2 linked regions of the Caenorhabditis elegans genome follow. The protein of the gene in region 2 interacts with the protein of the main gene of each other region in a pairwise test. Each region holds a gene or a part of one and is shown on either strand. Other genes may lie near its edges.

What was found.
Region 1: the proteins of hic-1 (region 2) and nab-1 interact in a protein complementation assay, tested with the Caenorhabditis elegans proteins (one study listed by BioGRID).

The regions. Positions count from the first base shown.
Region 1 is NC_003279.8:4,227,512-4,235,744, reverse strand, and holds the start of nab-1 (Neurabin-1), read right to left. Parts: upstream 6,169-8,233; 5' UTR 6,077-6,168; intron 5,860-6,076; exon of another isoform or gene 5,858-5,859; 5' UTR 5,831-5,857; coding exon 5,738-5,830; intron 4,982-5,737; coding exon 4,886-4,981; coding exon of another isoform or gene 4,802-4,885; exon of another isoform or gene 4,603-4,801; coding exon 4,520-4,602; intron 4,172-4,519; coding exon 3,983-4,171; intron 3,250-3,982; coding exon 3,042-3,249; intron 2,674-3,041; coding exon 2,511-2,673; intron 2,265-2,510; coding exon 2,058-2,264; intron 1,860-2,057; coding exon 1,222-1,859; intron 1,033-1,221; coding exon 685-1,032; intron 226-684; coding exon 85-225; 3' UTR 1-84.
Region 2 is NC_003284.9:6,597,411-6,600,515, forward strand, and holds hic-1 (Lens fiber membrane intrinsic protein), read right to left. Parts: upstream 1,299-3,105; 5' UTR 1,292-1,298; coding exon 1,201-1,291; intron 1,153-1,200; coding exon 987-1,152; intron 929-986; coding exon 790-928; intron 744-789; coding exon 636-743; 3' UTR 569-635; downstream 1-568.

The sequences.
Region 1 (8,233 bases), on a different chromosome or scaffold from region 2:
AACAACCATAGACTTTCGTATACTTTTTCGCAGTGAGAATATAATAATTATAATTTAATAGTTTTCAAAATCAGACAGAAAAAATCACATGGGAATTGTGTGTGCAATGACTCGGGTACGGCTTTCTCGTTCCAACTGTTTTCGTTCTCTTTCAATTTTATTCTTCATTCCTTTTACTTTCTTTTTAATTAGAGAACGATCCGAGTGATTTTGAATTCCCATTGCCTAAAAAATATTGATTCAGATAAACAATTTCAAGTGGTGTGATTTCCCAAAATTGTGGAAAATTTGAAAAAGTTGACGTCACATAAGGTTTATAGAATGCACCTATTTTAAGCCTTGTATATTCTAGGCACTTTTCAGGTAGGCAGACTGTGCCTACTAGACCTGAAGGGTTTTTGGGTTTGGCACAAGAAACTGAAAAATCAAAAACAAAAGTTCAGTCTCTCTTGCTCGAAAAGTGACATTTCTGTTGTTTTTATGAAATAGAGTGTAACATAAATATTGAATTCATTTCAGAATTTTCAGGAATCTTTTTCTCGGTTTTACCCAAAAAACCGAAAAGTTTAAAAAATTTTAGCACCTTGGTGCCTACGAAATAGTTTAACTTTTCGTTATGTAATTGCAGCGTTTTTTTTTTCTACCCGAGTTTTCTTGCGCCGGGATCGTATACATCTTACTCACCTTCAGTTTATTTCCGTCGAGCTCGAGGAACTTGGCTCCATCGATCTTATTAATGGTGAACTCTGGCACATATTTGTCCAAGCCCATTGAAACGAGCAACTGACAAACATCGTCCACCGTCCAATGAAGAGCTTGAAGACCAACTGGTTGACACGTGGCACGCCAGAACTCGTTTTCGGCGTACTTCTTTCGGAGTGGGAACAGAAGTTTGCGATGCGTCAATTTATGTGGAAGAGCCGGAGATGCTGGCTCGGAGATACGAGGGACTGGCGACTCGCATGGTGATGAGTACTCTTCTGTCCAACTACTTCCAACTGATACTTCCGCATCTTTTTTGGTTGATGGAGTCTGGAAATGAAAATGGGTGTTATAATTAGTTTCTTACTTGGGCTTAGGCTTAGTCTTAGTCTTAGGCTTAGGCGTAGGCTTAGGCTTAGGCATAGGGCCTACGCTCAAGCTTAATTTTAGGCATTATGTGAAAACTGTTTTAGAATGAAGTTTGAAGATGAATGTTCTTTCATATTTTCTCCAACTTACAATAGTCTCCAAATTAACCATAACAGCCTTATCCTCGTGAGGAAGCTCTCCACCTGGTCTATACGCCATTCCTTCATTCCTCTTCTCAACTTTCTCCTTTAACTTCTCTCTCAACTCGATAAGCTCAAGATTCTGAATAGAATGCCTTCTCTCTTCAGCTTCTTCCAATTTCGATTCCAACTCATCAATTCGTTCTTTCAATTGACGAACTAATGATGCATAATGTACATCCTTATCTCTCAATTGTTCCACATGATTCTCTTCTCGATTCAACAACTCTTTTTCTCTTTCCTGATAGTTTTTAATCATATAATTTGCCTGCTCATTCTGCTTTTCCAGTTGATCACAATGTGATTTCGTTGAGCTCAACACTTCATGATATTGCTCTGCTTTCTTATGAGTAACATCAAGTTCCAGTTCAAGAGCAGCAATCTTCGAACGAATCTCAATTTCTTCTTTTGTGATCATTGAAGTTGTCGGACGATCCTGTTCAATTGGTAGCTGTGGCATTTGAGATGGTGGTGGTGGCGGCTCTTCGATATCGTCTTCCTCGTCTCCCATCATTCTCATTCTGTCGTGTTCAAGACTTTGTTGAATTAGCTGAGCAACTTCGGATTCTTCAAGGTTTTGTTCGCGACCTGCAATACATTTTTTTTAAATTGGAAGATAACTGGTAAACATAATTGAAATATTTTCTAGATGCTTTTTTTCTCTACGCTTGCGCGGAATATGGTGTATTGAGTCGCTGTTGCACACAAAAATATTTGTGTTATTTCACGGAGTCATCAATGCAATATATCATACGCGTTCGGCACAATACTCCAAAAAAAACCAACCAATTGTGAAAGTGACTCGATTGCTGGTGGATCTCAACGTGTTTGCAGCATACAACTGTGAGACACCGACCAAACTCTTTCCATCGACTGAAACAATTTGATCGCAGACACGAATTCGTCCATCTCGATGAACAGCTCCGCCAGGTGTGATGCTCTTTACAAAGATTCCCAGCTTTTCAAGACCCGAGTCTGCACCAACACCCATACCTGAAACATAACGAATTTATCCGAAAACCGTAGGCAGGCAGAAAGCATATAATTTTTTCCTAAACAGTAGCTTCAGGTTGACATTCCTTCAAGTTTAATTAAGCGCTTATATCTCGGTTATCTTTGGTTATGCCGAGAAAAGAAAGTTTCCAACTATAAAAATGAAACAGAAACTGTGAGCAACATCCGATTGTAACCGAGATACAAGGCTTCTAAGTTATGGTAAGCCACAATACAATCACTAACCAATAATAGAGACTCCAAGTCCCTCGGCACCCTTTTCCAAATCAACTTCAAACAAATCCATTCTTTCAAGTCGTCTCTCCAATTCATATTCAGCACAACTTGCCACCGGATCAATGTCTTCATTCTTGCGATCGTAGTCTTCAACGGAAAACGCCGAGAAGACCTGAAAGTGAAAACGTTTAGATATTATGCAAATGAAGATCGCTTTCTCTTTCTCTTTTTCTCTTGTTCCTCATCTCTTATCATATCAATAAGGTGACCTAATTCGAGATTGTATAGATATATCTATTAATGAATTAATATCACCTTGCCACATATATGTAAACAAAAGGAAATGTTAGGTTGTGGTGGTCAAGTTTCAGTGAATGCATGTTTGCTCTATTGATAGTTTCAAAAAGATTTTTCTCGGCCACGTTTCAATCTGTCTTGGCCTAGAAAAAGTATAAAATTATTTTGAACATCATACATTCCATAGAGCAAACTTGCAACAACAAAGAAACATGAGTGAATGGGAAAAGTGGGTGATCTTACCGGAATAGGTGCAGTGCTGAACGAGACCTTTCGATTCGTTAAATCCACGTCAGGCCTCTCTGGACTCAGACCCCTCCGTGTTTCCATGAGTCCTCTGTTTTCTGATGTTGTTTCAAGTTCTGTTTCCTTTGGTGTTTTGACGACGGCGTATGTCGTGTGCTTCACTCCATTCGTCGTTGGTGAGATTCCATCGTTTTCCTCGCCAAAACTGAAAAAAAAGTTTTGATCGAAGAAATTTGATTATTTATATTAACAGCAACTCATTTTCATGAAATGATTGGTTTTTTCAGGTGCCTGCATATATTAAATTTACTAAAAAAACAATCTGGCGCAAATCGTATCAAATTTTTAAATTTTAAAAAATGTGAATGTCCGATAAAAAATCGGCGTTCTAAAAATATATCTAGACACACTAAATGAATTTTTATCACAAACACAGTGCGGTTTTTTAAAAACTTAAGGTTACGATAGATCCTTCATAAGCTTGCCAACAATGGGCTTGAAAAGGGTTTTTACGGTTCCAACGAGCCGATATGTGAGAAAACTCGGCCACGCTATTTTAGCAATTTCTGTAATCTTAATAGATTTTTCAAATTGAAAAATTCGAAAATTTCAAGATATTATGTGCCATCACTATTCTGAAAGATCCAAAGAAGACCGTGTTCCTGAATGAATCAAAAATTTTACTTTTAGTTTTGTACTTTGGAAAAGTCACAAGGATCTTTTTTTTAGCAAATTCAAAAAAAATCCCGAATGAGAAATCTAAGAAAATATGCTGGCCAAGTTTCTGGTTTTTTCTAGGCCACATTTTTTTTCGAAAAAACACAAATATTTGTTAGTCGCAACTAAAATACTTCAGCGCAAGAAAAAAAACTATTATAGAGAAAAATAAAGAAACTCATGCGAGAAAGTAAGAAAAATAAAAGAAGCGAAACACATACGGTTTGCCATTTCCTTCGAATTGCCTCCGATATATTGATCCATTTCTCCAATAGGGTTCAAATGAATTCATATTAATATTATTATTATTGTTGTTGGTTTGAAGTCCTCCATATTGCGACGTGGCAACCGTATTTTCGAACGAATACTGCTGTGTGGAATCGGAATATGATGACGGAAGAGTTGATGATCTGAATTGGAAAAAGAAAAGGCATGCGAAGCTGATAATGAAGCAAAGAAGAATGTTAGTTGAAATTAAAGAAAAAACAGAGATTTTGGTTTTTTTTTCGATTTGAAAATTCAAAAAAGTTCCTTTAAAAAAATTCTCAACTAATTTATCTGAATTTCGCACAGTTTCCTAGAATTTCTGAAATCTAGTTGCAGGCGACTTTTTGTAACTACCAAAAAAAATTAAAATACTTTGGCCCGCGAACCGAATGGAGAAAATTGCGATTGATCAAAAAAAATTACAGTTACATTTTTTTGAGAATTAAAAAAAAGTTATGGTATGGTAACAAATCCTTAAAAAAACAACTCACTTATTTTGTATAAACCTAGACGTTGCCGGCGATGATTGGATCCGATCGAGATCCGCGGCCAAATCAGAGAAATTTCGTTCGACCTGGAAAAGTTTTCGAGTTTTCGATTATGTGTTATATGCGTGTGTGTCTGATGGGGGAAAGGAGTGTGTGTGTGATATGAGTAAATGCCATTATTTTTGAATCTATTATCGATGAGCGGATTAGTCAACCGAACAGTATAACAGAGACGGGGGTGTTGGAGACACAAAACATTGACTAACTGACACAGTCTTTGAATTTTTAAATTCCATTTCTTTTTCCAGAAAACAGAAAGAGAAGGAGAGAGAGAGAAAGAGAGCCATGTGATTGTTTGATCACACATACCTGTGACATCGGACTCGGCGGACATTGAGATGGAGGTTTTGGGGGTAATGGAGGTGGTGGTTGACGTTGAAGACGTGGAGAGTAGAATGATGGAACCTAGAAACATTATTTTTTAATTGACACTACAGTAGTCTGCTTGCCCAATTTAGAGTTTGTTTTGGAAAAAGCGTGGCGGGCATCTGATGTTTGAAAAAGTTAGCTTACTATTAGCTCAGAAGTTGGCAAAATTTGGGCAAGACTTTGAAAATACTGGGTTTAAGCTGTGTTTAACAAAACTTGAGTTATAAATATGGTAGAAGTCTAAATCAAGTCGACAGTGTTTCCAACTTTTGACCCAAATTAATAATTGTTGAGCAAAACTTGATCATAGGGAAACCTCTTTTTCAGACATTTTTCAGACGTGACGTCAAATTTCTTAAACGTGAGGCTGTGAAGTGATACAGAAACTGGTAGTCAGAGTATCTCTTTTCCGAATGATCTCCGAAAACTTCGCCAAATTTAGACGCAGACTTTTCAGCTGGTGATCTAAAGAGCGGGGACGTCATACTTTTTCACTTTTCCTGTGAGCAAAATTCCAGCAATTTTCATAGATCAAATCAAGAGAGGGGACTTATTCTTTGAAGGCCTAAGTGAAGAATCTACTAGCAGGCAAAACTTGTTCATAGGGAGCTACAGATTTGATCTATATAGCCAGGAAAATCATTTTGCGAAAAATTGCATAAAAATTCTGGAATATATGCTCTAATCCACAATTTAGTGAGTTTTTTCAAGAAAAATAAATAACCGTAATGCAAAATAGCAAAATGATTTCAAAATTCGGAAACCAATTATTATCATCCAAAAAAAACTCACGTCTTGCTGTCTCTCAAGCTGCTCAAAAAGAGCCTTTGTATGTGAGAATCGAGCTCTTGCGTCGTCTGACAGCAGCTCGGAAGCCGTTGTCATCTCGGCTGTTTGGATTGAATTAGGCAGCTGTAAAATTGAATTTTTCAAAAGGTGGAAAGGTTGGGGAGCGGATATAATTCGTATCAGTTTAGGGGAACTGAGGAGCGAACGGGCGGTACGGGAAAGGGTGTCAATATCCGAGGATATTGCATAACCTTAACAATAAAGGACCGTTTTGCGCGCATGTCTTCTCCGGTTGGAATGACCTGAAATGATATTCCCCCGTGAGATTTGTCTGCGACTCACCGTCTCGCACACTATTTTGTTATCAGCAGCGGTGCGCACGACGCATGCACCGCCCACTTGCTGTTGTTGTTGTCCCGGCGACGTCTTCTTTTCTGAAGAGATTTTCAATTTCAGAATTGATTAGAATATTTCCGAGGCTTGGAGAAAAGAAGAAGAAGAGGAATGACAGAAGGATTTACGGGAAAGTGAAAATATCTATTTATTCATAATTATATTCTTTTTCGTCTCCCGGGTGATAACTGTGATAAGGATCAGGTTTTTGGGCACCGGACGGGGTGGTTGGATGAGGACTAATTGGATTGCGTTCATTTGTGTGAAGAAGGAAAAGCGAAATTCGGATTCAGAGCGGAGGCAAGAGGAAAGTGGAAGAAAAAAGGAGATTAAAAGGGAAAAGGTGCCAAAAAGTATAGAGAGTCTAGACTCGATATAATCAAATCAATTATTGAATTAGAATTGTCGCAAAAATCAGAAATTTCGCAAATAATTCTGGGGATAAAAATTTAAAGTTAGATCACAGATACGAGGTGTTCCTAGACGTAGGAAGGCACCTCTTATTCGCCTTTCTACTCGCCCTATCTGAACCGCACAGCCGAACCATTTTTGAATTCAATTATCAATTCGCCATATTTTACGGTACATCAGTGCAAATGCGCTCTACATTGATCCAAAAAATTAGTATTTTTGAATACTTTTTTTGAAGTCACGAAATTGGACCACCGATTTTTTGGCCCAAAAAATTTAACCAAAAAAAAATAAGCTCAAACTTCAGGGTATCAGATAGGCAAATTTGACCGTGAGGGTGTCGGCCAATAAGGTTTGATGTTTGAATTTATTTTTCAACTAAATCTTATTTTGAAATATTAGGAAAACAAAATGTTCTACATATCCTTAAAATCCAAAAAAAAATCAGAGATGAAGGAAAGTATGTTTTTGATGAAAAATTCTCAAACACCCGACATTCATCAATCATCACAGAACGGGGGCTCTCAATCTTTGTTTTTTTCCTCACTTTTCTTTTCACATATTTATTTTTACAGATATAAAATTAAAAGTGTCCATTCTAAGAAAAGATTTTTTAGAATGAATGAAGGAAATAATGAGAAATGAGGATGGAATTGAGCATGTAAACATGACGACGAGGGAGGCTATAGATATATTTACGGACTGGCAAAAAATTGGAAAAATATTTACTTGGAGCCAGAAGCTTTTGGGAAATGAGTGTGAAAAATATGGAAAAATCTGGAACAAATAGCAATACTTTTCGAGTTTTCTTTCAGCATTCTAGATAAGTTTGCAAATAAAAAACCCAGCTTCTATACTGGAGGGTGTTCTTAAATTGACGAAGGTTGCTGAAATTGGCTGAATTTAAATTTTCCGAGCGCAAATTGTTTCAGGTGGGAATATATTTTCAAGCCTTTTTTATTGCTTTGGCTACTATTGATTTGAGTACTACATTTTCAGTTTAAAAAAAACTGTCAAAAAAATTCTGCAAAAATCAATTTTGGAATTTAAAATCTCTAAACTTGCAAAAAATATGCTGAAAAAAATTTTTAAAATTCAAACTCTGATTTTTTTCAAGTTCCAATAAACTTTGAACTTTTAAGAATAAGAAATGTCAAGAAACTGACGATGTCTACAAAAATAAACGAGCCGGAATGAAAGTGCGCAACGGGCTGGAAGCCAGTGGAAAACATCCGGAGAAAATATAACAAAAATTGTGTGGCAACCATTAAAAAAATAGAAAGAAAACTAAGTAAAGAAACGTTGCAAAAAAATGGGGGTACAGTTATTATGAGTCAGGGAAAGGAGTGGCAATATGTGAGTAAACATTTATGAATTGAATGAAAGGTATAACGGAGAAAAGGTTATCAACTCGAACAATCAAAAATACGGAAACATTTCGCCTGGATGAATATTCTGATGAGATTGGAAAGGTGGAAATAGTATAGGAATGTAGAAGAGGATTAGAGAAAAGAACAGACGGAAAGAGGAAATGGAACATGAATTAGGAGAAGCACTTGCAGGAAAACATGTACTTGAGAGCAATATGTTCAGATAGAGAGGGTTGACAGATGGTTAAATTTTTAGGGTGACGATAAAAATACAAGAATTCCGACAAAAGATGTGAACTTTGAAGAAATAAAATTTAATAATTTT
Region 2 (3,105 bases):
AGAGCTCATGAAACTATTCTTCACGTCAGTTTTTTTCTAAATGGAATTGAGTAGTGCCCGAGTCATAAAATGAGTCATACCTATCAGAAATGACGTCAGAAAAACAAAACAAAAGGTACAAAGTATTCATTTTTTGGAACATCAAAATTGCGAAATTAAACCGTTTTCCAGAAAGTTAGTAATGCACGTTTGAAACAGTATCTCACAAGATCCTATTAAGCTGGTGCATTCAAAAGTCGGGTAACTCAGTCCTTCGATGTTTTTGGGTAAATTTCCTAATATTTCTTTTTGGTCCGTATGAAAAAAATTTCATACGATTTAATAACTATCATCAAAAGTGAACTCATGATACGTAACTTTAATTTATAGCAGGTAACAAGTAGACATAAACACATGATGCTTTTCTTTGTTGAACATTTTTCGATTGTATTCCTATTTTTATGTTGAATGTATTTTGATAATATATAAAAATATCAATTAAAAACGGATTCCTTTGTGGGCCGTACAATAAATTTTTATTTCAAACTCAAAGTTTTCCATTGATTAGACGAATTCAACTGAGCTTGTACAATTGTCAATACTGTTTATTTTGTCATGAATAAAGCTTTTGCGTTAAGTATGTTCAAGTTAAGTATTTATCGGTATTCCGAGTATGCTCCATATCCAGTTGCACTTCCAGATACTAGTAGTAAAAGAAATGAAAGAATTGTAGCAGCCAAAGTGATTCCCCATGACCATCCGAGCTGAACAATCACACTTTTAAAAAATTGAATTTCAAAACTAATTTACCTTTAACGAAATCAATGCGTTGTAATAGAAGCTTCCAATATTTGCCGCGAATACAATGATGGAAATAAGAAGTAAAATGAATATGATCAAGGAGAGAAGAGTACACGCTGCATGAACCGGCATCATTCTTCGGAAAACTCTGTAAAGTAAAATGATATAAGTTGTCTTCAATTTCACTTGTCTTAAACTTTACTTACATTGCAGGTATGACAAGAAGACAAAACAAGAGCTCAAATGAGAATGCCATTAATTGACAAACCACGACACATTGCAGCCACCCCGCACTTCTTTGGAAACTTCTGTTCGCGCCTGCCTGTCCCCATTGATAAATTCCCATGTGCAAGTTTCCAGAAACACCCCAATCTAGGAATAAATTTCGCATTTCAGGGAACGACAATTTGCCAAACTTACAATTTGTAAAAGTTCCCACTCCGGTTAGTATTGTAACAATAATCAGAAGGCCAGCAATGGCGAATGGTGCGTGATGGTGATGATGATGCATTTTGTGACTGAAATTAACATTTTTTAACCGGAAAAATACTTACAGAAAAGATAAAAAAGATATAACAGGTAGATCAAATTATACTTACGTCATTGTGAAATAGTTCAGAGTAGTTTGTGGTTTGAAACTTTTTACGTAACTTGAGAAAACAGAAACTAAAAAATCGTAGGCATCCTGAGCTAATTTCATTTATTTTGTGGCAACCCACTCGGATTCGTAAAAACTTTAGGACATCATTCGATTTTATGTAATTTAGGAAACGTGCAAGAACATGTTTTCTGAACAAGTAAAAAATAGAAAGCATTTTTTGAAGTCAGATAATCATTTTTCATGCTTATATAGTGTACAGCGGTTCAACTCGACTTTGTGAGATGTTTATCTGGAGTGAGTCTAGTGGCTTTCGATAGAATTTTCTACCGGCATTTAAAAACGTCATTACTTGGTTACTTTAGTTTATCTAACTCCTTAGGTTAAGTTCGAAACAATCCTTACGATAGGATACAAACTAAATCTGTATAGAAATAAATGGGAAATAAATAGGAAAAAGCTTTTTTGGAATCTTTAACTGAAATTATTACTTGAAAAAAAATTATACTTTACAAAAAGCTCGATATACAAAGCTTTAAGTGTGACAGAAACTGCACAAAACTAAAATTCGACTATTTTTCTCGTCAAATAATAACAAAGATAGAAGATCATCCAAATGCCGACCTTTCCTGTTAGTTGACATTGGATAGACTGAACTATATTTCTTTTTGATCCACTATTTGAATATGATCCACAATTTTGAAATGTCCGCCTCTTTGTTTGTTCAGTGAAATCATAGTGATAGAGTTTTCGTGAAAAAAAAATCCTCGCCCTACAGTTTGCTCTCTCATGATTTACCATGTGTGAAACTTTAGTGTAAATTGTCGCGCAAGCTGAATGATTCACTTCATGAAATCGGTTTATTCATAAAAGTATACAACGACTTTATCGAAAAAGGTGACAATATGAAAGAGAGTTATGCATATTCATATTCAGAGTCGTGATTTCACAATTGATACAAATAAAAATGAACAATTTTAAGAAATATACTAACAGGTCAGAGGAAAAGATGACACAGACAAATGCCAAGTCACGAACTAAGAAATAAAGCATCACGCACGAGCATTTTACATCGTGAACTTCCAAGTGGCCATCGCTTCTGGAGGGAGCGACGATGAAGTGTAGCCCATATTGCTGTTGAGAAAGATTTGAACGGTTTCAAGTGATGTGCAAAGAATTGAGATGATTATGACCAGGACACTAACTAGGGAGTGTTTTAACTATGTGGTGCGATCGGGTAAAAGTAAACGTGTTATGCGATAGCTGGCGTTTTAGGCTTTCAGAATCTGTGATTTGTTTCGGCAGAAGACCTCTGTGAGTCTGGAAATTTTCATCTGAAAATGTAGTACTGAAATCAGTGCATTTCCTATGGTTAACAGTGGATTTTGTCTCTGGCGCCAACAGAAGTCTCACCACAATGGTGGAAGGGTGAAATCATCGCTTCGGTGGTCGAGTGGTGAACGCATTCGCCTCTTGAGCAAAAGTTTGTGGGTTCGGTTCCCACACATGGTTTAAATTTTGGCCTTTTTTTATACAAAATTTTTAGAACGGGAAACAAATGTTTAAAACAGTTTTTTGAGGTTTTTACATTACTTTTTTGCTTTTTGATTGAACCACAATTACCCTGGAAACTTTTCAGAAATTTTTATTTTTTCGAAAATTGCCACTTTTTTCTCCACCAAACTCCACCAAACCATGAGAAAATTGGTTCCAAAAATTTTTTTTGA